Linked DNA regions of Alligator mississippiensis. The protein of the gene in region 2 binds, or shares a complex with, the protein of the main gene of each other region. Links are inferred from orthologs where the notes say so. Each region holds a gene or a part of one and is shown on either strand. Other genes may lie near its edges.

What was found.
Region 1: the proteins of ASF1A (region 2) and TLK2 are in contact, whole or in part, in a crystal structure (PDB 7LO0), measured with the Homo sapiens proteins. The link is inferred for Alligator mississippiensis from reciprocal best matches to the Homo sapiens genes ASF1A and TLK2. Residues at the interface, in NP_054753.1 of Homo sapiens: Val45, Ala48, Glu49, Glu51, Asp54, Asp88, Val92, Thr93, Val94, Leu96, Arg108, Gly110, Tyr111, Tyr112, Arg145, Thr147, Phe149; in NP_001271262.1 of Homo sapiens: Arg11, Arg12, Gln13, Leu15, Leu16, Glu17, Arg19, Phe20, Thr21, Gly22, Val23.
Region 3: the proteins of ASF1A (region 2) and CDAN1 are in contact, whole or in part, in a cryo-EM structure (PDB 9CVC), measured with the Homo sapiens proteins. The link is inferred for Alligator mississippiensis from reciprocal best matches to the Homo sapiens genes ASF1A and CDAN1. Residues at the interface, in NP_054753.1 of Homo sapiens: Gln5, Val6, Asn7, Asn8, Val9, Val10, Val11, Leu12, Asp13, Pro15, Asn20, Pro21, Phe28, Asp37, Val45, Ser47, Ala48, Glu49, Ser50, Glu51, Glu52, Asp54, Asp58, Ser59, Val60, Leu61, Val62, Gly63, Pro64, Val65; in NP_612486.2 of Homo sapiens: Arg195, Arg196, Ile197, Asn198, Thr200, Val202, Lys390, Leu391, His470, Glu471, Glu472, Pro473, Gly474, Trp475, Asp476, Lys538, Arg541, Arg544, Leu545, Gln546, Arg548, Leu549, Met550, Ala551, Pro552, Gln553, Ser554, Ser555, Arg806, Lys807.

What each region holds. Positions count from the first base shown.
Region 1 is NC_081827.1:156,834,483-156,841,408, reverse strand, and holds the start of TLK2 (serine/threonine-protein kinase tousled-like 2), read right to left. Parts: upstream 3,051-6,926; 5' UTR 2,562-3,050; intron 2,194-2,561; exon of another isoform or gene 2,004-2,193; intron 878-2,003; exon of another isoform or gene 875-877; 5' UTR 870-874; coding exon 789-869; intron 1-788. UniProt on the Homo sapiens protein: Serine/threonine-protein kinase involved in the process of chromatin assembly and probably also DNA replication, transcription, repair, and chromosome segregation. Phosphorylates the chromatin assembly factors ASF1A and ASF1B.
Region 2 is NC_081824.1:103,478,031-103,485,306, forward strand, and holds the start of ASF1A (histone chaperone ASF1A), read left to right. Parts: upstream 1-4,242; 5' UTR 4,243-4,385; coding exon 4,386-4,494; intron 4,495-7,276. Other genes in the region: DNA helicase MCM9, read right to left, coding at 1-115. UniProt on the Homo sapiens protein: Histone chaperone that facilitates histone deposition and histone exchange and removal during nucleosome assembly and disassembly.
Region 3 is NC_081825.1:237,163,202-237,170,241, reverse strand, and holds the start of CDAN1 (codanin-1), read right to left. Parts: upstream 3,096-7,040; 5' UTR 3,039-3,095; coding exon 2,943-3,038; intron 891-2,942; coding exon 163-890; intron 1-162. Other genes in the region: t-SNARE domain-containing protein 1, read left to right, coding at 3,246-3,843, 4,373-5,031. UniProt on the Homo sapiens protein: May act as a negative regulator of ASF1 in chromatin assembly.

The DNA.
Region 1 (6,926 bases), on a different chromosome or scaffold from region 2:
CTGCAACATTAGCTTCATTCTGTTGTCATCTCAAAAACCAGAATTACTGGAGGCAAGGGGCCCTATTAATGAACCTACCGCACTACCACCTTCTGAGACCAACAGCTTGCCCTGAAATTTTCAACAGAAGGGTCACAATTATGCAATTTATTACTGAATGGTTTAGTCAATAGAGGCAACTCTTGATCAGGTACAAAGTTTTATACGAGAACAAACCTAGGATTTCACTATCGAGTTGTGGATCGCAGAATCAGGCAAGCTTACCTCTGAATAAATAGAAGTTTTAATGAATTTAACTGAGCTCACACAATTGCAGGAAGCTGCTCACAAAGTTCTAAACAGACAAGTTCCCAGTGGTCCTAAAAACCCAGTTACATGCTGGATTACACATGGGTTTAAAAGTGTGTCTACCTAAAATACTCAAATTATGTCCCCAAACTTGAGAAAGGAAAAAGATTAATTGGATTCTCATTTCCAGAATAAGCTGTTGTGTTGAACTTTTTATTTTAACTATAAAATGCCAATAAGATGGTAACAGTCCTTTAAAAAAGGAACCTCTTAATTACAAACCTAGGTTTCTTACCATGAAGCCTCTATGTGTAGAAGCAAACATTTCTCACTTTTTCTGTTTCTATGCATCCTGTTACACATACTTTAAGAAATGTAAGTGGACAAAGCTCAGCTATCAATAAGAATCTTTCTGCTATTGAATCCACGCAACTAAAAAAATACGTAATGTGAAAAATGGACCAAACTTTGTGCCTGTTGCTGTGGGTATCTGTACTCACCTTGGCAACACCTACTCCAGTGAACCTGGCCTCTAACAGTTCCTGCCGTCGTGGGTCCAGGCTATGCAACTCTTCCATCATTTCTGCTGCTAAAAGGGAGAGAGAGATGCACTGTAAGTTTATGAAATGCAGGTGTGAGGAAAAGAATGTATGTTCTGATGAAGCTGAAGGGTAATAGCTGTATGACAATTCAGTACAACATAACTTGAAGTAAGATGATTTGCCCCAGATGGTTGTTGTTTTATTTATTTATTTATTTGTTTAACTGGTCATTCTGGAGCTTCATTTTTAACAGCGTCAATAGTTATTTCAAGATCTCTTAATCCGAGTTACAAAATGTTTCTGTATTTTCCTACTGGATGCTTTATTAGAAAGAGGGCTTGGGGCTTTGACATTTCCATCTCTTCTGTACAGTGTAAAAAGCCTTTTCACACCCCAGTTCTCTATATCTGACCACTTCCTGAAGCACTAGATTTCCCCAAACAATGCATTCTTGTGGCAAGAACCTAGAACACACATCCTGAGTTCTTCCAAGCAGGAAAGCGATGGGGAGGAAGGCACTGACGCGCGTTTAAACTTCTCCTTTTAGCCTGCAACATTCCAAACACCCAGGCACTTTTAGCTACATCAGAGGAATTTGCCTACTGGAAGTACCTGGGTACCTCCAGGTGATCACTGACATTGGTGTCATTATACAAAGCATTTAAGAAAACATTCCTCTGTAGCTTGGGCTAATTTCCAAAATGGACACATTCAGTATTAAAGTGAAACGAGGGAGAAATGTCAAAGTTCTTTAGAATTGTGAATCACATCTTCCCAACTGCCCTCGGAGCAAGCCCGTCATTTCCAGAAACGTCTTTTCCAGTTTCATTTCCAGGGCTGCGAACGAGAAAGAGATAAATACACAGGTTTGCTATACGATGAGCATACCCGAGAAGGAAAGTTCCTGAAGGGCAGCAGGTGCCCTCTGGAACAGGCACTGTGCAACTGCTCCTTTTCTGCTTGCTGTCCATTTTGTCCCCACAATCCCTTGTTTCCTCCAAACGCTGCAGACCGAAGTGACAACAAGGTCCTGGGCGAATCCAACTGGGGCCCTTTACGAGAACACGCCCAGCCATGAAAAACACCACAACCCCAAGCTCAATAAGCTGCTAAATTTGATGAATAGAGGGACCTATTTATAAGCACCTGTTTAATAAAGCTTTCAAACGGTACCTTTCCATCAGCAAGCCAGACAGACCCTGGGGGAGGGGGGGCAGAAGCGCCCCCTGCCCCACCCCACATTTTTGATCAAGCCTCCTGCTATAGTGATGCACAGAAATCCTGGGTGATCCCCCAGCAAGAGCGGGGACTAGAGAGGCCGCCCGGGACCACCTGCAAGGCGAGCCAGGGCGGGGGGCATCCCCGGCCCTGCGCTCCCCGGACCCGACCGGCCGAGGGGCTGGGCGAGGCCTGTGCGCTGGAGGCAGCGCCAGCTCGCAGCACCTCGGAGGAGAGGCCGGCGGGCGGGGTCCCGGGCCGGCCTCCCCGGCGAGGTCCGGGGGGCGATCGCCGCCCTGCCCTGCCCTGCCCCGGCCGCCGCCGAGCCCGCAGCCGCAGGCCGCCTCCTCCCACTCACCCGCCGCCGTCGCCGCCTCCACCCGCAGGCCCGGCGGCCGCTCGCCCCCCGCCTCAGCGCCAGGCGGGCCTCGGGCCTGCGCTGACACCGCCGCCCGCGGCCCAGGCCTGCCCCGCTCCCGCTTGCACTCGCGCCCGCCGGCTCCCGGCGCTCACCTGGCGCGGCCGCCCCGGCCCGGATCCGCAGCGGGCCGCAGGAGGGACCCGCCGTGCTGCTCCTGGCTCCTGCTCCTGCGGCGGCGGCGCGGGCGGGCGGGCGGGCGGGGGAGGCCGGGGCGGCTCCGCGGCCTCTCCCGAGCCGGGCACCCGCCGCGGAGGGCGCGCGTGGGGCGGGGGCAGGCCGCGGAGCCCCGGCCTCGCGTGAGCTCCGCGCCCGGCCGAGGGGCGTGCGGGCCGGGGAGGGGGTGGGGGGCGGCCTCGGAGGACAAAGGCCCAAGGGAGGCGGCGGCGGCGGCGCCCGGGCGGGGGGCACGGGGACCCGGGGCGCCCCCGCCCGGCACGGGCAGCCCCGCTGTGGGAGTGGGAGTGAGGGTGAGGGTGGGGGCTGGGCTGGGCTGAGCTGGGTGCAGCTGGGTCCACGGCCCCCCTCCCCCTCGTCCGGCTCGGCTCGGCCCGGCCCGGTAGGGATCGATTGGTGCAAAGACACTAGTGAAAGCGCGTGTACTCTCGCGAGATTTGCACGCCTGGCGGGGGGGAGGTCAGTGCCGGGAGGAGGGGGGAGGGGCGGGGAGGTCAGCGCGGGGCGGGGCTAGTGAGGGTGGAGGGAGGGGCCAGCGATGGGGAGGGGGAGGTCAGCGCGGGGAGGGGCCAAGGCCTGGGGAGGGGGCGGGGCCCCTTGTGGCAAGTGGGGTCAGGGAGGGAGGGGCGGGGGAGGTCACCCTGGGGTGGGGGAGGCCCCGCAGGGGTGAGGGGGCGGGGTCTGGGGGGCGGGCCGGGCGGGCAGCACCAGTGTGCACTGGGGGAAGAGGCTTGGTGCAGGGAGGGGCTAAAATGGGGGGGGGGGTCAGTGCCCATTGAGAAAAAACGGGGAGGGGGCTTCTAGCTCCCCCCAGCTTCTTCCCTCTCCAGTGAACTTAGGGACTGGTGGGAGGGTGCCAAGTGGTGGGGTAAGGCTCAGGGGAGACCAGGATTGCCCTGCTCTCCCACCCCAGGGGGTGCTCCCTGGGGCACTGAGGACAGGAGTTTATGCATCAGGGAGATGAGCCTCAATCCCCCTTCCTTGCTTCCCCCAAGCTTCCTGTGGTTTCAAGAGAAAATTCCTCTCTCTTCCTCACCCCCCCCCCCGGGAATTTCTCCCTCTTCCTGGGCAACAAGGCATCTTGTTTGCAAAAACAGCCTCCTCTCCCCAAGGGAAGATGATGTCCCTCCCAGCCAGGAGCAAGGGGGCCTGAAGGGAAGAGTTCTGCACGCAGAGCATCCCCAACCTCCCAATCACTGTGCCTCTGAGGAGCTGAGAAAAAACGAGACACCAGCAAACAAGTGTACCCCGCACCTCCATTTGGTGTCTTGTAAATCGTGCAGCCTGTCATTCTGACAAGCTTTCCTTATCAAATATGGATAGAACAAGTAACAGAGAGGCTGGGTACACGGAGTGGCTTTGTGTTAACTGTAGTTTGCCCTTGCTCTTTGCAGCTGCTTCTTGCTAGATAGACTCTCACAGAAGGGCTCAGACTGGTTACTGTGGGTAGATTACTTTGCAGTTTGTCCTTATTTCCCTTTCTTCCAAGCCCTGGGGGCACTGTCAGACAGAGTGTAAAGCGCCATTGAAAGGCATTGCAACGCTCTGCTTTAAGGCTGAATCAGCTTTCTGAAAAGCAAACAAACTGGGGGGGGGGGGGGGGGGGGGGGGAGTTGAGGCTTGTTCAGAAAGGAAGTGGCCAGGCCTGTCCAAAGGGAGGCAGGCATGGATTAGGCATTGGAAAGGAAGTTGCTGGGGCTCTGGATAAAGGAGCGGCTTTCTAGAACCGCACTGTAATAGCAGAGAGATTCTATAGTTCGTGCATCTGCAGGTCAAACGAGAGTTACTGAAGTCAAATGTGTTTTACTGCAAATACATCAAAGACATTTTTACAGTCAACCAGGAGTTTACCAGTTTGGCAAGTCCGATGAAGAGTAGGGCTCAGACAATGACATGGTGCATCTGAATGCATGGGAAAAGACAGGCTTGCAGCATTGTAAGGACAGGTGAACTGTTTTGTTTTAAAACAATGGTTAACTTAACAGAGGTACAAGCCATTTTTAACCTGGTCTTGCAAACAAGTTGGAAAGCATCTGCTGTTTCTTACAAACTGCACTTCCTGTACTGTAACCTATTTCTCAGCAGAAGATCCAGGCTGAGGAAGTAACAGCAAACTTTCAGCTCCCTCAGGCAGATGCACCTTAGGACCACAAACAGTGACAGGGCTCTCCAAAAATTATTTTAAAAGCTCTTTTTAAAAAGAACCTTACCTTGTAATATTTCTTAAACCATCTAAATTATTGCAGCAAATGACCATACTCAGTTTAGAGCAGGGTGTCAAGTTGGTGTCAAGCATCTGACCTGCAGAGCTGTACCATCTGGCCTGCTGAGTTACTGGAAGTTGGGAGTATGGCCAGGGTGTTTGGCCTGCCACAGAATTCAGGAACATGGTCATTGGCAGCAGGGGGGCAAGGCTGATACAGCCTTGCTTTGCCCTGCTGCTGACACTTGGCCCCACACAGCACTGCTGGGCCACTGCCATCTCCCCCTGCTGCTGGATCCCTGCCCTCTCACTGCCACTGCTGGACCCCCATCACCACCACCAGACTAACCACAGCCACCACCTGGCCCACCACTGTTGCAGCTGTTTGTCTCACGGAGTCAGCCCAGAGCTCAGAATGAGTTTAACACCCCTGGTTTAGAGGAACATTAGTCAAGTGACATCTGCAATTAACATTGTACAGTTATATTCACATCACACATGCACTTCAATTCAGCATGGAAGAATAGAAAGAGGAAGGACAAGCTTCCGCAACCATTGCAGCCCACCTTTAGCAGCATCCAAGAATCTCCAATTCTTTTGGTTCCCGATGATTCGGTCTTTGGATTAGGCTACAGTTCAGAGACACTAAACTGATGATTGGTGGTTCTGAAGCAATGAGCAAGAGTCAGACCTTCAGTATATTGGATATAGTTGGTATAGCAGCAACTTTCAAACCAGTAGTAGGAGTATACATGATCAATATGGTTCATTTCTTTTGGAGAGATCCTTAGACTGTTTTTCTTCCATTTACTGTTCTTCCTTCAGCTATGAAGTCACATATGTCGTGATTCCTTCCTATTGGTTGTTTAACATAAGAAGCTATGGGTGAAAGAGTAAGATGCACAGGCTGCAATGTCACTGAAGACCTGAAGGCATTCAGTTCCAGATCTTTTTCCCAAGGGGCAGGCAAAGCAAATATCCTGCCCCCCTAGCATTAAGCAAAGTTCAGGACCAGAGTATTTCTGAAAGATATGTTCTAGTCCACTGGTTCCCAAAGCGTGGTTGGTGGATCACATGTGACCTGTGTCCCTTTGATGCAGCTTGCCATCCAGGGGTGCTCCTTTGAAATATCCTTTCAGGGAGTGAAATTTTGGGAAATGACGTGTTCAATGACTTGCATATGAATCCCTGGGTAAGGTCCTGGTGGTAGTTGTTGGCAGGTGGTGGTGAATTCTTATGGCATGCACCTACTTGTGTATCTGTCAGGTCTGGATCAAGCATTGAGGTGGTTGGGAGTGTTTCAGTTAAATGCTCTTTCATTGGAAAATGACAATTTGTTGAAAAAAAGCTTTTGTAAGAAAACTTTTCAATTTTTACTTTTTTTGAAACAAAATACAAAATGAAATTTTCCCTTTTTTTGGTTCAAAACCCCCTTTTTAAACATTTAAGTGAATTACAGTTAAAAAAAATAAAGGCCAAAATCAAAATAAAGTGTTTTGTAATGATCAAAACTAAACATTTCAGTCTTGAATGCCATGGAAGACCCTCCCTCCCTCCGCCCCTGGCTGTATAGATGTTGTAACTTCCAGTTCTATAACTTCAAGAGAAGCTTGTCTGGAAACTTGCAGAGGAGGGAGAGGTACTGGACAGTTTAAGCATTTTCTCTATTATATAAAGACTGGATATTCCAGCAATAGGAACTTTAGAGATGTGTGCCAGAAGTATAGGATCAAATGGAGGCTACCCTTATCCATGGGGGTATGTCAGCCCTTCTACCACCACCTTTTTCCCCTGCAGGGGTATTTCTACAGCATCCTTCTTTCCAGATGATTTCTTCCAAAGATTGCTCCTGCCTCTTTTGGTTTTCTTCAGTAGCAATTGTAGTTCTCCTGCACTGGTCTTTTCTGGGTGCCAGCAAAATCCTTGACACAAGAAATTGTTGAGGCCTGAATTTGAATTCAAGGTGGCAAATATGTGCTAAGTTTTGATGGTTATTTTGATGATGTATGTAAAATGTATTTGATAGCTCTAATGGCAAGTGATCAAAAACCATGTCAGGCTGCAAACCTATTAAAAATGT
Region 2 (7,276 bases):
TGTTCCTTGATGCTATTAAACTCATCGATACAGCAAAGACCTCCATCTGCAAGCACCAATGCTCCAGCTTCCAAATTCCATTCACCAGAGTCCTTTACAGCAGTCACTGTCAAACCTGAAAAAGAAATCAGTTTTCAGTCCTTCTTCAAAGTGAATTTGAATAAAAGCTTATTGGCTAGTGCTGGGCAGAGAGAATGCAAACAGCACAAACTCGTCACCCTACAGCTCTGCCAATAACACTTTAGGTATTGCAGACCCCTGGGCATGATATCCAGTTATTATAGTCCATGTGTTCCTGGGTCTGTTGGGCAAATTCTGTCAAGCAGGGCACATTTTGTACTTGTGTTTTTATGATAAGAAAGAAAGGTACAAAATGTGATTAAAGGTGATCCAACTAAATTTGTTAAATTGATTTTAGGTGCAAACCTGAACTGTCAGCAAAGTTATACCATGGATACATGCAACCCACCATCAACTTTTAAAAACACAGTGGAACATAAAAAGGCTATACAACAAATATTAGAAAATTAAAATGTTTTTAAATGTCATTTGAGAGAGATTCATTCATGAGTTCAGGAAGCAGGAAATGGAACTGATAAGCTCTGTCAACATTATATTTTGATTAGGGGGGCAAGAGAGTTTCTTTTTGAGATATTAGGTTCATTTGAACATTAAACTCAAATGGAAACTGGAGGGATGGAAATCAAACTCATTCCCAGCAGGCATATGGAAATGGAAACTGTATGTAACACAGCTCTAATTAACCTTCACAGAACTGACAGCATGAAGAGTATGAAATGACACCTTATGTATATTTTTTTTTTTTTTTATCAAGACTGCTAAACGTTTATTGTTTTCTAGCTAATAAGTTTTTTCTTTAATACACTACTCAGTATCTAAAAGTGGGGTCAACCTTGGGACAAAGTTAATAGTACATATTTATGTAATATAAGGATATCTGGATTTCAGCGATAGCAATTAGAACTGCTTTCCCCTCTCAAACATCTGCAGCTCTCCTCCACTCCTCACATCTTCTTCACAACTTTTATCTCTTTTCTTCATTTTTGGGCCTTTTCTCCCTCCCCACAAATTCTCTCTCTACTCCACTACAGTTTGGCTCACAAATGGCTCAATAATCCACACCCCATGACTCTAATCAACCTGAAGCTCTTTAGGGGCGTCAGGGATACAAACAGGGTGTTTGTGCCCGAAAGCTTGCAAGGAACAATTTTTCCAACTATTTAGTTTGTCTAATAGAAGATATCAGATTTACCCAAAGAACCTTGTCTGCCTATGCCCTTAGGCCAACATGGCTACAACGAACAACCTTAAGGACATGACAATGGGTCCAAATACTTTAACAGAGCTCTGACGCTGGAAGTCACAGCCTACGGCTGGAACATAGTTTCTGCCAGTGAAGTTGTGTCCCCAAACAAGCAGTGAAGAGGCACTGAGCATGGATATCTCTCAATAACGCACTGCATATTATTGGGAGGTTCATTATGAAGAATGTCTTTCACATCGTCCTATCTTCCCTGATTCTCTTGGATTTTCATATGTAGGAGCAACTTAAGCAGTCTACCACCCTGCTGGTTTAAACAAGGTAGACAGGTATAGAAAGCAGTGGGTGCATCTACATGTGCCATGAGCATGTAGCAAACTCCAGTGCAGTATGCACCAGAGTTTAATGCACCTGGGCGCAGTGTTTACATGTGCACCCAGGGATGCAGTATGCTGAGCCAGGGGTGGAAGAGCCCTGGCTGGCATGGCTTGGGGGGGGTAGGGGGGGTCAGCCTGCCAGCTTGGAGCTGCTCTGACCTTGCTCAACCTGTTGTGGAAGGGCTGGCTGGGGCGTGAGGGAGCTGCAGTGTGGGGGTTAGCTGGCAGGCAGCCCCTGTGCTGTAGCATCCTTGTGCCCCAGACAGCCCTGGTCACCATCTATACATGCATTTTGGCGCATGTAACTACTCCACTGTAAGATAGTACTTGTCCTAGACAGTACTATTCTACGGTGGAGTTAATTAATTTACTGTACCCTAATCAGGGTATATATGTAGACGTTTTACTATGGAGTTAATTAGTCAGCTCCACAGTAAAGCGCACACGTAGATGCACTCAGCAGTGATCCCTGATTGTGTGTATACGACAAAAGAACTTCCCTGTAAAGTAGAGATCAAGATTGCCCACTCCCTTGGAAAGACTTCTAGGAAGGAACCAACCAAGAGGAAATCTTGATATGATCTTGGGGACCAACTCAAGTCCAAGGACCTCAGCATAGAGCTCCTGTGCTCTTCACTGAACTCCAGTCCTCCAAACCCCTCCCTGGCCTCCTTGCCAGCATGGCTCAGCCTTTCAATGCAAACAGTTGGCCTACACAGTCTACTGTACTCAAGGGCTCAACTCGGAAATTAACAGTCTGAACCTGTATTTACTTCAGCAGTTTTTCCCCTCTGGAGTTGGGGAAAACAACTGGCAATCCCCCCACCCCGTGTCATATTCTGCCCCTCTAGCTACCGGATCCCTGACCCTGCAGGAGACAAGGACACCCACTGGTTGAGTTGCTATTCCATCCTCCATGTGCAATGGTGTGAGATTTTCATGAGGGAAGGGCCCTCTTGGTGCGGGCCTCCAAGGACAGGGCAAAGCCTCTGTATATCACTTTCCAATTTAGGATCTTGCCTCAAAGCATTCTGATTTCTTCTTTCACATTTAAACATATGGATCTGTGAAACTTGTAACAAGCTGCACGGCTCTCCAATTGGGCTTGTCAGCCACAAACAGATTTATCAGGCATCTGACAAGACCTCTTACATGTACACCAGGATCCAGAGAATCAACCATTGCCTACTATGTATGCAATATGTTCATGTAAACATAGGACAGTAGTGAGCTACAGACAACTGAAACTGATTTTTTTTGGCAGAACCTGTTTATGCGACAGTCGTCCTAAAGCCGAGGTCTCTTTGACTACCTAAATGGTAAGTCAAACCATCTAAAACACAGGCTTCTCCAGGCCCAAAAAGAGCTGCTTGGGCTGACCCTGAGCCAATAGGGAGTTCCTGCAGAGTCATGACCCACAGTAGCTATTTCTCCATACCCTCAAAATCCAAACCCTAATAGTACCTCTCTTAGTGAAATCCCCATTTGGAGAGAACACCCTCAGACCCAATATGAACATGAACTTGCAGCCCTTCCTCTGATTGGTAGCCACCAGTCAAGGGAAGAGCCCCATTGACTTCAAAAGATCTGAGCAAGCAAGTGCAGCACTTGCAAAAGGGTTGCAGGTTTGGCTCCTTACGTTCTGGGGGTCCCAGAGATGCTCCATGGTACCTAAAGGGTCAGCACAAACATTTGATCACAAGAGAAGAATTGCTGCTTATGTGTCTGTTTCCCTCAGTGAAAATAAAAAGTTATTTTCAACATCCAGCCACATTATACAGGTATAAAAATTATATAATACGTATATTAAATGTATATAGTTATATACAGGCAACCCCCACTTAACTCTCTTTGGCTTAGCGCTATTTCTCTATAACGCTCATTTAAAATTGATACCCTATTCCACTTGGCGCTCAGCGAGTTTTGTTACAACGCTCAAGGTCACCATCTTGGGTCATTAAAAACAATTGTGGTTGCCATCTTGGGTTGTCAAATACTTTTGGTTTCACTTAATGCTGGGTTTTTCAGGAACCATATAGGGTGCTAAGTGGGGGCTGCCCGTATACATGCATAGAAATGATATAAAATGCATATTTGTATCTACTCTCTTTCTCCCCACCTCTCCCTCCCCCTCTCCATCTCTCCCCATTTCTTCCCCCTTCCAACTCTTTCCCCATTCTTTTTCCCCCCTTCAATGTCTCTCTCTCTCCATCTTCTATACACAGACAAGAAGAAGAAGAAAGGAAAACAACCCTGCCTTTGGAAAAGGGACAGAGCTGGAAACGAAGCCGCCGGACAAGCCAAGCCGCGAAGAGACCCGACAGCGGCGTCAGCCACGCTGTGGGGCCGGCTCCTCCCTGCGCGCCTGTTCCGCGGGGCTCCGGCAGAGGGAGACGCGGCCAGTCGCGGCGCCGCGCGCTGCCGCGCAGCCTGTCTTGACCGTGCGGAGCGGGCGGGGCGGGGCGCGGGGGGCGGGGCTCGGGCCCGCGGGCCAATCGGCGCCGGCGCTGTCCCTTAAGCGAGGAGAATGGGGCGGCGCGGAACGGACTAGCGAGGCGGCGGCGCGCTGCGGGCGCGGGGAAGGCAGGCGGGCCGGCGGACAGGGGGCGGGGGAGCGGAGAGGAAAGAAAAGAAAAGAAAAGAAGGAAAGAAAGAGACGACAAGAAAGTTGCGGGCGGGGGGAGCGCGCGGGGGCCCGAGGCCGGGCGCAGCCCATTGTGCAGACCATGGCCAAGGTGCAGGTGAACAACGTGGTGGTGCTGGACAACCCCTCGCCCTTCTACAACCCCTTTCAGTTCGAGATCACCTTCGAGTGTATCGAGGACCTGTCGGAAGGTGAGGCCGCCCGCACCCGGCGAGCAGTGGGGCAGGGTGGAACCGGGCGGCCCGGCTCGGGGGCAAGTTGCGAGGAAGTTGTGCGAGTGGCGGGAGCCATGTTGCCAGCTTTGTGCGCGCCGGCGCCGGCGCATCGGGGCCGGGAGGCGGGCTGCGAGCGGGGTCGGGAGCTGCCGGGCTGAGGAGCGCGGGAAGCGGCGGGACCGAGCTGGGAGGAGCTGCCGCCTTCCCTTCCCCTCTCCGGGCCGCGCTCCCCAGCCCCGCGTGGTGGAGCGGCGCTAGCCGCAGCCCCTGCTCCCGCGGCGGCCTACGGCCCCCCGAGCCGCCCGGCCTCCGCTTTGCCCGCAGGCCGGCCAGGCTCTGTGGGGAGAGGGGGTGTCTTGCACCAAATAGTTGGGGGAACTGCTTTTCGGGGCACCAGCACCCTTTTTCAGGGGCAGGGAGAGAGCGCTCTGCCTGCTCCTGGATGGAGCAGGAGCCGACATACAAAGCCTGTGCCTGAAGAAGGGCGTTAGTTGGAAAAAATGTTTTTCAAGGCACCAGTGCCCTCGCACGCTTTGTATGTCGGCTCCCGCTCCCTCCAGGAGCAGGTAGAGCGCTCTCCCCATGCCTGAAGAACACTGGTGCCTGGAAAAACACTTTTTCCAACTAACGCCCTTCTTCAGGCACATGCTTTATATATTGGTGCCTAGAGAAGGCAAAACACTCTCCCTGCACCTGAAGAAGTGTGTTGGTGCCCCCAAAAACATTTTGTGATAGACTAACTAAATAGTTGGAAAAAACTGTCACCTTTACCCAAAGACGCTCAAGTCAGAAGGCACGTGGTGCTAGACTGGCTGCCAGTGGGCAAGTGGGAAGAAGGCCCTGCCAGGCCTGGGGGAACGGGGCCACTCTCAGTGCTGTCTCTGGAGGACGTCCTCCCTGGGGCAGTGCTGGGACAGGCTGGCAGAGGCTGCTCCCCCAGCCTCTCTCTAGTGATTCTTAACTGTTTCAGATGGGGGGGGGTGTGCTAACCTGGGGGATGCCAGTGCAGTCACACAGGCAATGGGGGGAGGCTAACCTGAGGCACCTCATCACCTGTGTGACTGGACTGGCACCCCCCAGCAACGACTGCCGGGCCTTGCTTACTTCCTTGCAGGGAGGAGCCTGAACCTGCACTCCTCTTGCACCTCAGGCACCCTTTAAAGGATCTCACATCCTCAGGGTACCAACCTCCTGGTTGAGAAACACTGTCTTGGTTTAAACAAGGTTTGGCCCAAGCCCCTGTGGATGTGGCAGCTGGTGCACCAGTGCCACAGCCTGTTTTTAAAGTCTGGGAGCACTAGCAGACAGGGCATATTACCTGGACCTGTGTGCCTAGGACTTCTGCCCCTCCTCTCCTGCTCTTGTGTATTTAGCTCATATTCATTACTAATGGATTTGCGTATTGAAGCAAGGATGGTTGGCATCTCAATGAGCCAAAATTTAAAACTGCCTGCTTGCTTACTTAGCAATATTAGGCTCCTGTTTTCAACTAGGAATGAAAAGCACACTACCGTTTTTCACATCCCTGCCTATTACAAGTACAGATTTTTTACTTTTGATTTTGATTTTTTTTTATACAGGTCGTTAAAGTTACAGAAAATACTAATACATGTAGTGAAGGAAGTTGCTGTTGCCTTATTTTTAATTACTACTATCCAAATACTACAGGACCTGCTGCTCGCCCCCCCACTCCCTGCACCATGTTTAAAGGGCTCGATTCGGGCAGGGAGCCCCTTCTTGGCCAAGTGGGGGGAGTTCCTGGTCCCAGGGAGGGAACCCAGGCATCCCCAGCATGTGCTGCCCCCACCCCTACAGCTCAGCCCATGTTATTTCAGTGAGTTTATACTAGAGTTATCTGCAATTCTGATTTTTTTTCAATGGATCAGGGGGCCCCCCAAAATTGTGGGCGGGCCCTGATCAATTTTTCTCTCCAAATGTTATTTAATTTTTAAATGGAGTCCATTCAGTTATGCCAGTTTAAGATTCCTTGCATCCATCAATACCTTTTTAAATGGTTTTAACTGAAAAGTTTTATGCTTTAAAATGTACCACTTAAAAAAAAAAAAAAAAAAAAGTTGCAAAACAAGTTGTGGTTTGTAGATAATATAAGCTATCAGTCCACAATTAATTTTATACTGGCTTAATAACTTATAATAAATGTGTTCGAGAGAATCTTAGCCTTTGCTGTCCTCTCCTCATAAGACTTAAGGCGCTGTCCTCAATAGGACAGCCAGACTGGGTCAGGTCACTAGACATTTTTGTCTGGTGACTTGTCTTTGCAGTAACCCAAACCAGATGCTTCAAAGGTAGGCAAAAACAACCTAGTTTGGCACACTAAGCTGGAAGAAAAATTATGTCACCTTAAAAGATAAATATACATACAGAAGGGCTATAGTAATGAGGACAAGTAATAGAGCAGATGAGTTTTGTAAAGTAGTTGGAAGCTCTTTTTTCTTTAGGTTCTAGCTGTGCTGAAAAAGTTCCAGCATAGCCCCTTCCTTGCACCTGTGCAGAATGCTGTTGAAGGTAACAGCTGGGGTTCACCCACCCTACTTGCTGCTTATGCACAATCTTCAGTGCATTATTCGGTACTGAAAGATAATACAAAAATATTACTTTTTTTTTTAAAGGCTATCTTGAAATTGCTCCATCAGTTTCATGTATGTCATGAAATAATCACCAATGTTATCTTTCAGTTAGACTTGCTCATAATAACAACTAGAGGCATTTTTACACATGCGCACACCACAGTGCCAGC
Region 3 (7,040 bases), on a different chromosome or scaffold from region 2:
TACAGACACCTAATATTTTCAAAAGTGAAACACTCCGGAGGCCTGATTTTCAGATATGGCATCCTTTGTATTCAAATTTTTATGACAATAGTCTCAGCTCTCCCAGAAAACAGCCTGTCCTATTTTTCTAAATAGACCAGCAGTTAATAATGATGCTCTTACTTTGTGAAGCCAGAAGAAGCGCACATGGGTGGGAACTCCTCCAAGTTGTTGAGGTTCAGCTGATCAGGTGGGGAACTGGCAGAGACACCCAACACTTCATTGCGCTTCTTCCTCCCTCCACTCCATGAAGTGTTATCACTCTTCCCATCCTCCTCATCAGCAAGACATCGTCCAAGATCCCGAGCCACCTGCCGGCTAGAGGTACTGGTGGAGCTGTTGCCCTTTCTTCTGCCTCGCCTTGTCGGCTGAACTTCTGGCATGGCCACAAAAAAGTTCCCCAAGTTGGCCTTCTGAGCTGAGCGCCTCTCACTGTGGTTAAATACAGGGCTGCAACCAAAGCTTGGGCTCACACTGGAGACCACACTAGGGAAATCACTGCTGGGGCTAGACAGGTTTGATCCAGTAAATGCAGGAGAGCCACCTGACACAGCAGAAGGGGCAAAGCTGGTATCTGGGGAACAGGAGTTAGCAGAGCCTTTTTGGGTAAAGAGCTGCATTCGGCTGCTGCTTGACCCTGTTGTGTTTCCTGCCCTCCTTTCTGAGCCTCTCCTTTGGCTCCCACGGCCAGCAGAGTTTCCAAGGGCCTTGGAATTCGGTGTTTTTGCAGGGGTGGAAGGCCCATTGGTCAGGATCTGACCGGTTTGCTCCCTTAAAAAATTCAAGAAGAAAGGCACAAAGTCTTTCTGAGGCAAACTAAGAGATACCAGCTTTTCATGGATATGGTTCTCCTGCAAGAAAAGAGGACAAAGCATTAATGAAAGATATCCAAAACTAGGGGTTATCATTTTTTTTCTCTTTCAAATTGCTGGCATAAATTAAAAGTAATTAGGGGTTTTTAATACTTTTAGCTTGAAGAAGTGTGTTTAATAGTCAGAGCAAGCCACCGAGATTGATGAGTTCTTGATTCTCTTCCCAGATCTGACAGCTAGTCCTCAGTCCACTTTGGGCCAGATATGGAGTGGATGCTTTTGTTTATCTGGCTGCCCTATTGCAGATCAGCAGGGCCTATTTTGTTCAAATGTCCCCATTAGCATAAGAGCACTACAGATGATCTGCAGTTTGAAATAAGGCCTTTTTTAGGTGTCTTATGTAAGGCACTAGACACTGATAACCAAAATTAATTCATAATGCATATGGTTGGTAATTTTTCGTGCCCCAGTGCTCTGCTAATACCACTTGCTTCCTCATAGGGGTGCTGTAAGAATGAACATTTGTACACCAATCTGAGATTCTACTCTGTCCGATACATAAATTTACATGATTATATTTCAGTGGAATCATACTAACCACAGAAGTGAAAATACAGATTGCTATAAGGTTTGTGATGCAGAAAGCTTGCAATCAAGAAAACTAAATAAAAATGTAACTTTAACATCTTTTAAACTTTAACTTAAAAGCATAACACCTGTAAATTATCTAAGAATAGTGCCAGGAAAATGTTTGTTATATATCACTAAAACATAACCTAAATTGTTTCATGCAACGACGGACAAAGGTTCTGCTGGTCTTTCAGTAGATAACATTTGTTTTCCTCACAAAAGAAGTAGGCAAAGTTTGTAACAAAAATGCTGGAACTTTGTGGGGCAGCCATTCATATTCTTACTAATGGCAGAGCAACTGTACTCGCACTCTCCCCTTAGATCCTATTCAAAAGGGAAAAGCTTTGTGATCCTTCCCCATGTGAAACAGAAAGCAACATATTCAGAGGAGAGCAGAGGGTCTGTATTTAAGGAAAGCTTTCTTAGGAAAAAAGGTGGAGGAATCACAATCTTCCTTTGCTGGACGTATTTGTTCTGGCAGGGGCACGGATCGTGGGGGTAAGGAAGGACCGTTTGAGAGCAGAAACAAACTTCAGTTGCCAACTACACCAAACTTAAGACTCATCTCAGATTTTTTAAAAAGCCACTTATTCTCTCCACTGTCCTACTGGCAGAAGTGAGCCTGTAACTAAGGTGCCCCACTGTGCCCTACCTTCTGCCTGACTTCAGACTAACATGGCAAACTCACTCTCCCTGCTCTTCTGTTATGTTTCGGAGAAATAATGCACAAGACTGGAAAATCAGGAGACCTGGGCTCTGTTAGCTCAGATGCAAGCTTGCCACGTGGGTTGGAGCAAAACAAGTACCCCTTCCAGCTCCTCAGCTTCCCCCTCAGCTAAATGGGCTTGATACAGGAACAACTGATCAACTTTTAAGGGTCAGGCAGCAGCCTCTTCCAGTCATCAAGACCCATGAAGCTGGGGATACACCTCATCTACATTACATAATAAGGGAGACAGTCTGAGCTGCTACCAAGAGGTACAACCGCCCGTTTGATAGGAGACGTTACTGAAGCACAGCTCACCCGCACCCACACACCCCGCTGGGCGCCAGCGCTGACAACCAAGCCGCCACCATTGACCCCCAAACTGCAGCTGTGAATTGCTGTGGAGCGGCAAGGACTGTAACTCCCCAACTCCCACGAAGCTGGCGCTGGGCCCCACACTCGCAGCAGGCGGCTACAATCCCTGGCCAGGCTTCGTGTGAAGGGAGGCGGGAGGGGGAGACAGACCCGGGCCCGCGGGGCCGCCCCTTCCCTCCCCCCACAAGCCCAGCGGGCCGAGACGGCCTCCCGCCTCACGGGAAGTGTCAACGCAGTGGCGGGGCGGGCGCCGTCTCCCCACAGCCCAGCCTGGCCCTGCCCCGCCGGGGGTGGACTCAGGCTCGCGGCGCGGCCTTGGGCAGCAGGGGGACTCCTGGGCGGGGCCGGGGCCGGCGCCCCCTCCCCGGGACCCGCGGTACCTCGGCCGAGCGGCGCCCGGGGTCGTGCTTGAGCCAGTGCACCAGGGCGCCGGGCGCCACCTCCTCTCGCAGCACTAGCTCCAGCGCGGCCGCCATTCCCGGGGGGGCGGGGCGGGGCAGAGCGGGCGAGCGCGGGGCGCGGGGACACGCGCCAGCGGGAGGGAAGGGGAGTGGCGGGGCGGGACCGCGCGGGAGGACGCCGGGAGGGGGCGGGGCCTGCAGCGCCGGGCGCCAAGTAGCGGGGGCGGGGTCACGGCGCGCGGCCGCAGCCCTGGCCCAGGGGCGGGGCCTGCGCCCCCCCCCATGTCAACACGCGGGGCGCGGGGCGCGTGCGCGGCGCTCGCGCGTCTTTTCCTCTCATGCGCGGTCTTTGCTTCCCGCGCGGGGGCCGGGCCCGGGGCCGGGGCCGGCGGGCGGAGGATGGCAGAGGACTCGCCGAAGCGGCGCAAGGCGAATTTCAACGAGGCGGAGACGGAGGTGCTGATCGAGCAGGTGCTGAAGCACGAGCAGCTGCTGTTCGCGGCCGGGCCAGGCCGAGCGTCGCCGGGCCAGAAGCGGCGCGTGTGGGAGCTGATCCGGCACAAGGTGAACCCCGTGGCCGCCTGCCCGCGCGCCGTCGAGGACCTCAAGAAGCGCTGGCGGGACCTGAAGCGCCGCGACCGCAGCAAGCTGTGCCGCCTCCCGCCGCCCGCGCCGCCGCCGCCCGGCCTCGGGCTCGGCCTCGGCCTTGGCCTCGGCCTGCTGCTCGACCCCGACGACTGCCCGCCGCCTGCGCCGCCCGAGCACCCGCCCGCGCCCCGCGTCTACGCCTCGCTGCTGTCCGGCGCTGCCGCCGAGGCCGTGCCCATCGTGGGCGGCATCGATACGCTGGACCTGCCCGGCGCCTCCGTGCTGGACCTCGGTGAGTCCCCGGCGGGAGGGGGCTGCAGCCGGCCGGCGCTCGGGCCCCTGAGGGACTGTCGGTGCTGCCTCACCCCCCTTCTCCCGGACCAGCAGGCGCCTGCGGGAAGGGCCCGAGCCCGTCTGGGCCAGGCGGTGGGCCGCAGGGTGAGGGCTTACTTCGGGAAGCAGCAGAGGAGATAAGCCCCTAACCCTTGTCACAGCAGAGCTCTCCACCAGCTTCATTTCTGCATGGGGGGTGGTGGGGGGCAGGCAGAGAAGGGATCCCAGCCTGAGACCTGTGCCAAAGTTGGCCTGTGAGCATGTTTAATTCCTCACCCAGCCTGGAGAGAGTCCCTGTGCTAAAAGCAAGGAGTCCTCTTCATCATAGCACCTTGGAAGCACAAGTGTGGGTCCCCTTACAAATAAATGACCCTGGCTCAAGGTTTGGTATAAGGGTTTGCTGGGCTGGTAGAAGCACAATTGATTGTGGAAGCAAGGATATCTAATGACTTCTCTCTCCCTCTCCTCCCCATCTGCCATGTCCTTAGGGTTTGCTGAGGACCCCGGACCATCTCACCAATCCAGTCTTGACAAGATGAACCTAAAAGAAGAAATAGTAGTGAAGGTAGTGGAGCCAGAGGAAAGCTTGGAGGACATGGCTGTGGTTCCACCCAGCCAGGAACAACTATCTTTTCTGGGGTCATCTTCTGGCAGCTCCTCTGGGAAAGGAAAAGCTAAAACAAAAGGCCGATCCCAGACAGACCAAAATGAAATTACTGAAGAGGACCTAATACAGATGCAGCAGACCCAGATGCAGGTGATCCAGTCTGGCTTTGACAATGTTAACCACAATCTTCGGCTGCTGCAGCAAGGCATACAAGATCTCAGCAATAGCCTCAGCATCATGGCGCACACGTTGGTGGCTATAAAAAATGTCTACGTGAAAAACAACACGGGCCCAACCACCTATGCCACTGTCTCCACTCAGACCACAGCTGGGTACCTGAGCCCTGCATCTCCCCAGATATCCCCAGCTGAGGACAGGGGCAGAGCACAGGTGGCTGGAAGCAGCAGCAGAAGCAGCAGCTGCAGTTCCAGCTCTATGTCTCAAGAGCCAGGCCCTTCCGAGTTTCCCAGACCCCCTTTGAGAACCATTAAGAAAGAACATCCCAATGGCTGCTACTATTTCTGTTTTGCAGATGTGTAAAACTTGAATACATGTAATAGTGACTGTGGTGTTAGAGGTGCTGTTTTATGTTCTGCTCCAGCCTGATGGAGCAAACTGGACTTGCCTCCCACTCTTTTTTTTTTTCCCAGTGGGAAAAGTTTTACAGTAGGTGGCATTAAACACTAACTACAAGTCTCCCATTTCTTAACTCTTAAGTGTTGCAGTTGATTACTGTCTGTCTGCTGTTCTCTTCACCATCTTCCACTTTAAAAAAAAAAAAAATCAAAATTATTTTGACCAAGACACTTGTCTGTATCCTCTTTCACTCAATGTGACCTTTTGAAAATAAAAGGCATGATGAAGTAGGGTGAAAGGTAAGAGCAGTTACTGAATAGCAGGAGTGTAATCTGTTATACAAGTTGCTGTGTAGTTGTTTGCTTGTTCTTTAAATCCAACTGCAAAAATAACTGACTTTAAATTTAGTATCTGCTGTTTCTAACTACTGGATGTGTTTCTAATTTCTTAAACCTAGGCTGTGCAAAGCATCACAAGGGGTTTGGCAGCTTTACCTGCTCTGGGGATGGCATAGAATTAGACCACTGATCCCTCATCCTGCTACTTATCATTCATCTAGCATTGCTCCATCTGGTCACTGTTCAGTACAGCTCCTCAAATACACTTTCCCTGCAGAAGCATTTTGCTTTAATGAAATAAAAGTGAAGGCAGTTATTTGTCAGATATCTTGAGGAAAAGTGTATCAAATATAATGAATGAAACTTTTTCACACTATGAAGCAATACTTGCAATTACAGGTTATCATCAATCTCTGTCTTCAGTAAATCCAAGCTGGGACCAAGTGCCGTAACATTTGAGATGACAAAGGGGCAGCCCTAACTGATGTTCTGCGCTATCCAGAACTAAGTGTAGATGTGCTGCAAAGGGTGTTAGGGTTCAGCAGAGCCAAGCCTCTCTCCTGGCTCTTGAAGAAGCCTTCCTTCTTCCTAAGGATTTATCTAAAGATCTTCCATTCTCTTAACTATATCCCCAGGGGGAGTCTAAAGAGAAAGGAACTCCTAAATGCTAACTCGTATCTGTCTGAAATGGTTTAGGAATACCATATCCTGTACCTGTGCATGAGGCTTGGAGGACCCTTGAAGTCAAATAGAAGCAGAGGAGAACTGTGAGTTATTTATCCTGATGGAAAAAGCAAAATTAATGGATGACTTCATTTGGTTGAGTATTAAAATAAGAAAAACCACAGCCATGTAACAGGAAATATTCTAGTTAGTATGGGCCTACTTTAAAAAGTGACTGTAAAAAGAGCAAAGGTACATTGTTTATTTTTGTAATGTCCCAATGGAAAACAAAAATAACTCTGTAATCTCTCTCATCCTGTGGCTGTATGCTATGATTTGAAATATCAGTTAGGCTCTTTTTCTTCTCAGGTATCACCAATACAAGCGAGTTCTGCAGGTCTAATTGTGCCTACAGTGTTACTTTGCATAAGCAAAAAGGAATGGATCCTGTAACTGGAAATTAGCAAACACAGATGATACACAGAGGGACTTGAATCCAACTCTGTTTCTCCTGCCTGATGGAGCACAAGGATCTGTGGAGTAAGAAGGTAGTATTTTTGCAGTCAGTTCTGAATGTTCTGCGGTTTAGGGAAATGGCCTGTTATAACTGCAGGCCAACAAAGTCCTTTTAAGTTAAATGCTGCTAAGGGTGCCAACAATAAGGAGGAGTAATGCAAAGACTCTTCTTTAAGAGAGTTCCAAGCAGCATCCACAAATTAAAGCCTATGAAAAGAATTCAAGGTGAGCATTAGGCAGATCTCGCCTTCTAGCCTGTGCAAGCATCCTGACAGGGTCTGATCGTACTCACAAACACTTTGATTCAAGCAGGGCTGAATCTCCAGTATTACTGAAGAAAAACCACATCACCCAAGACATGAACAAAACAGCTGGAAAAATATAAGTAGCAGGAATATATCACATCCAAATTCTCTGGCTGCCATTTCTTCCACCTACTATTTTACAAAAAGAGGG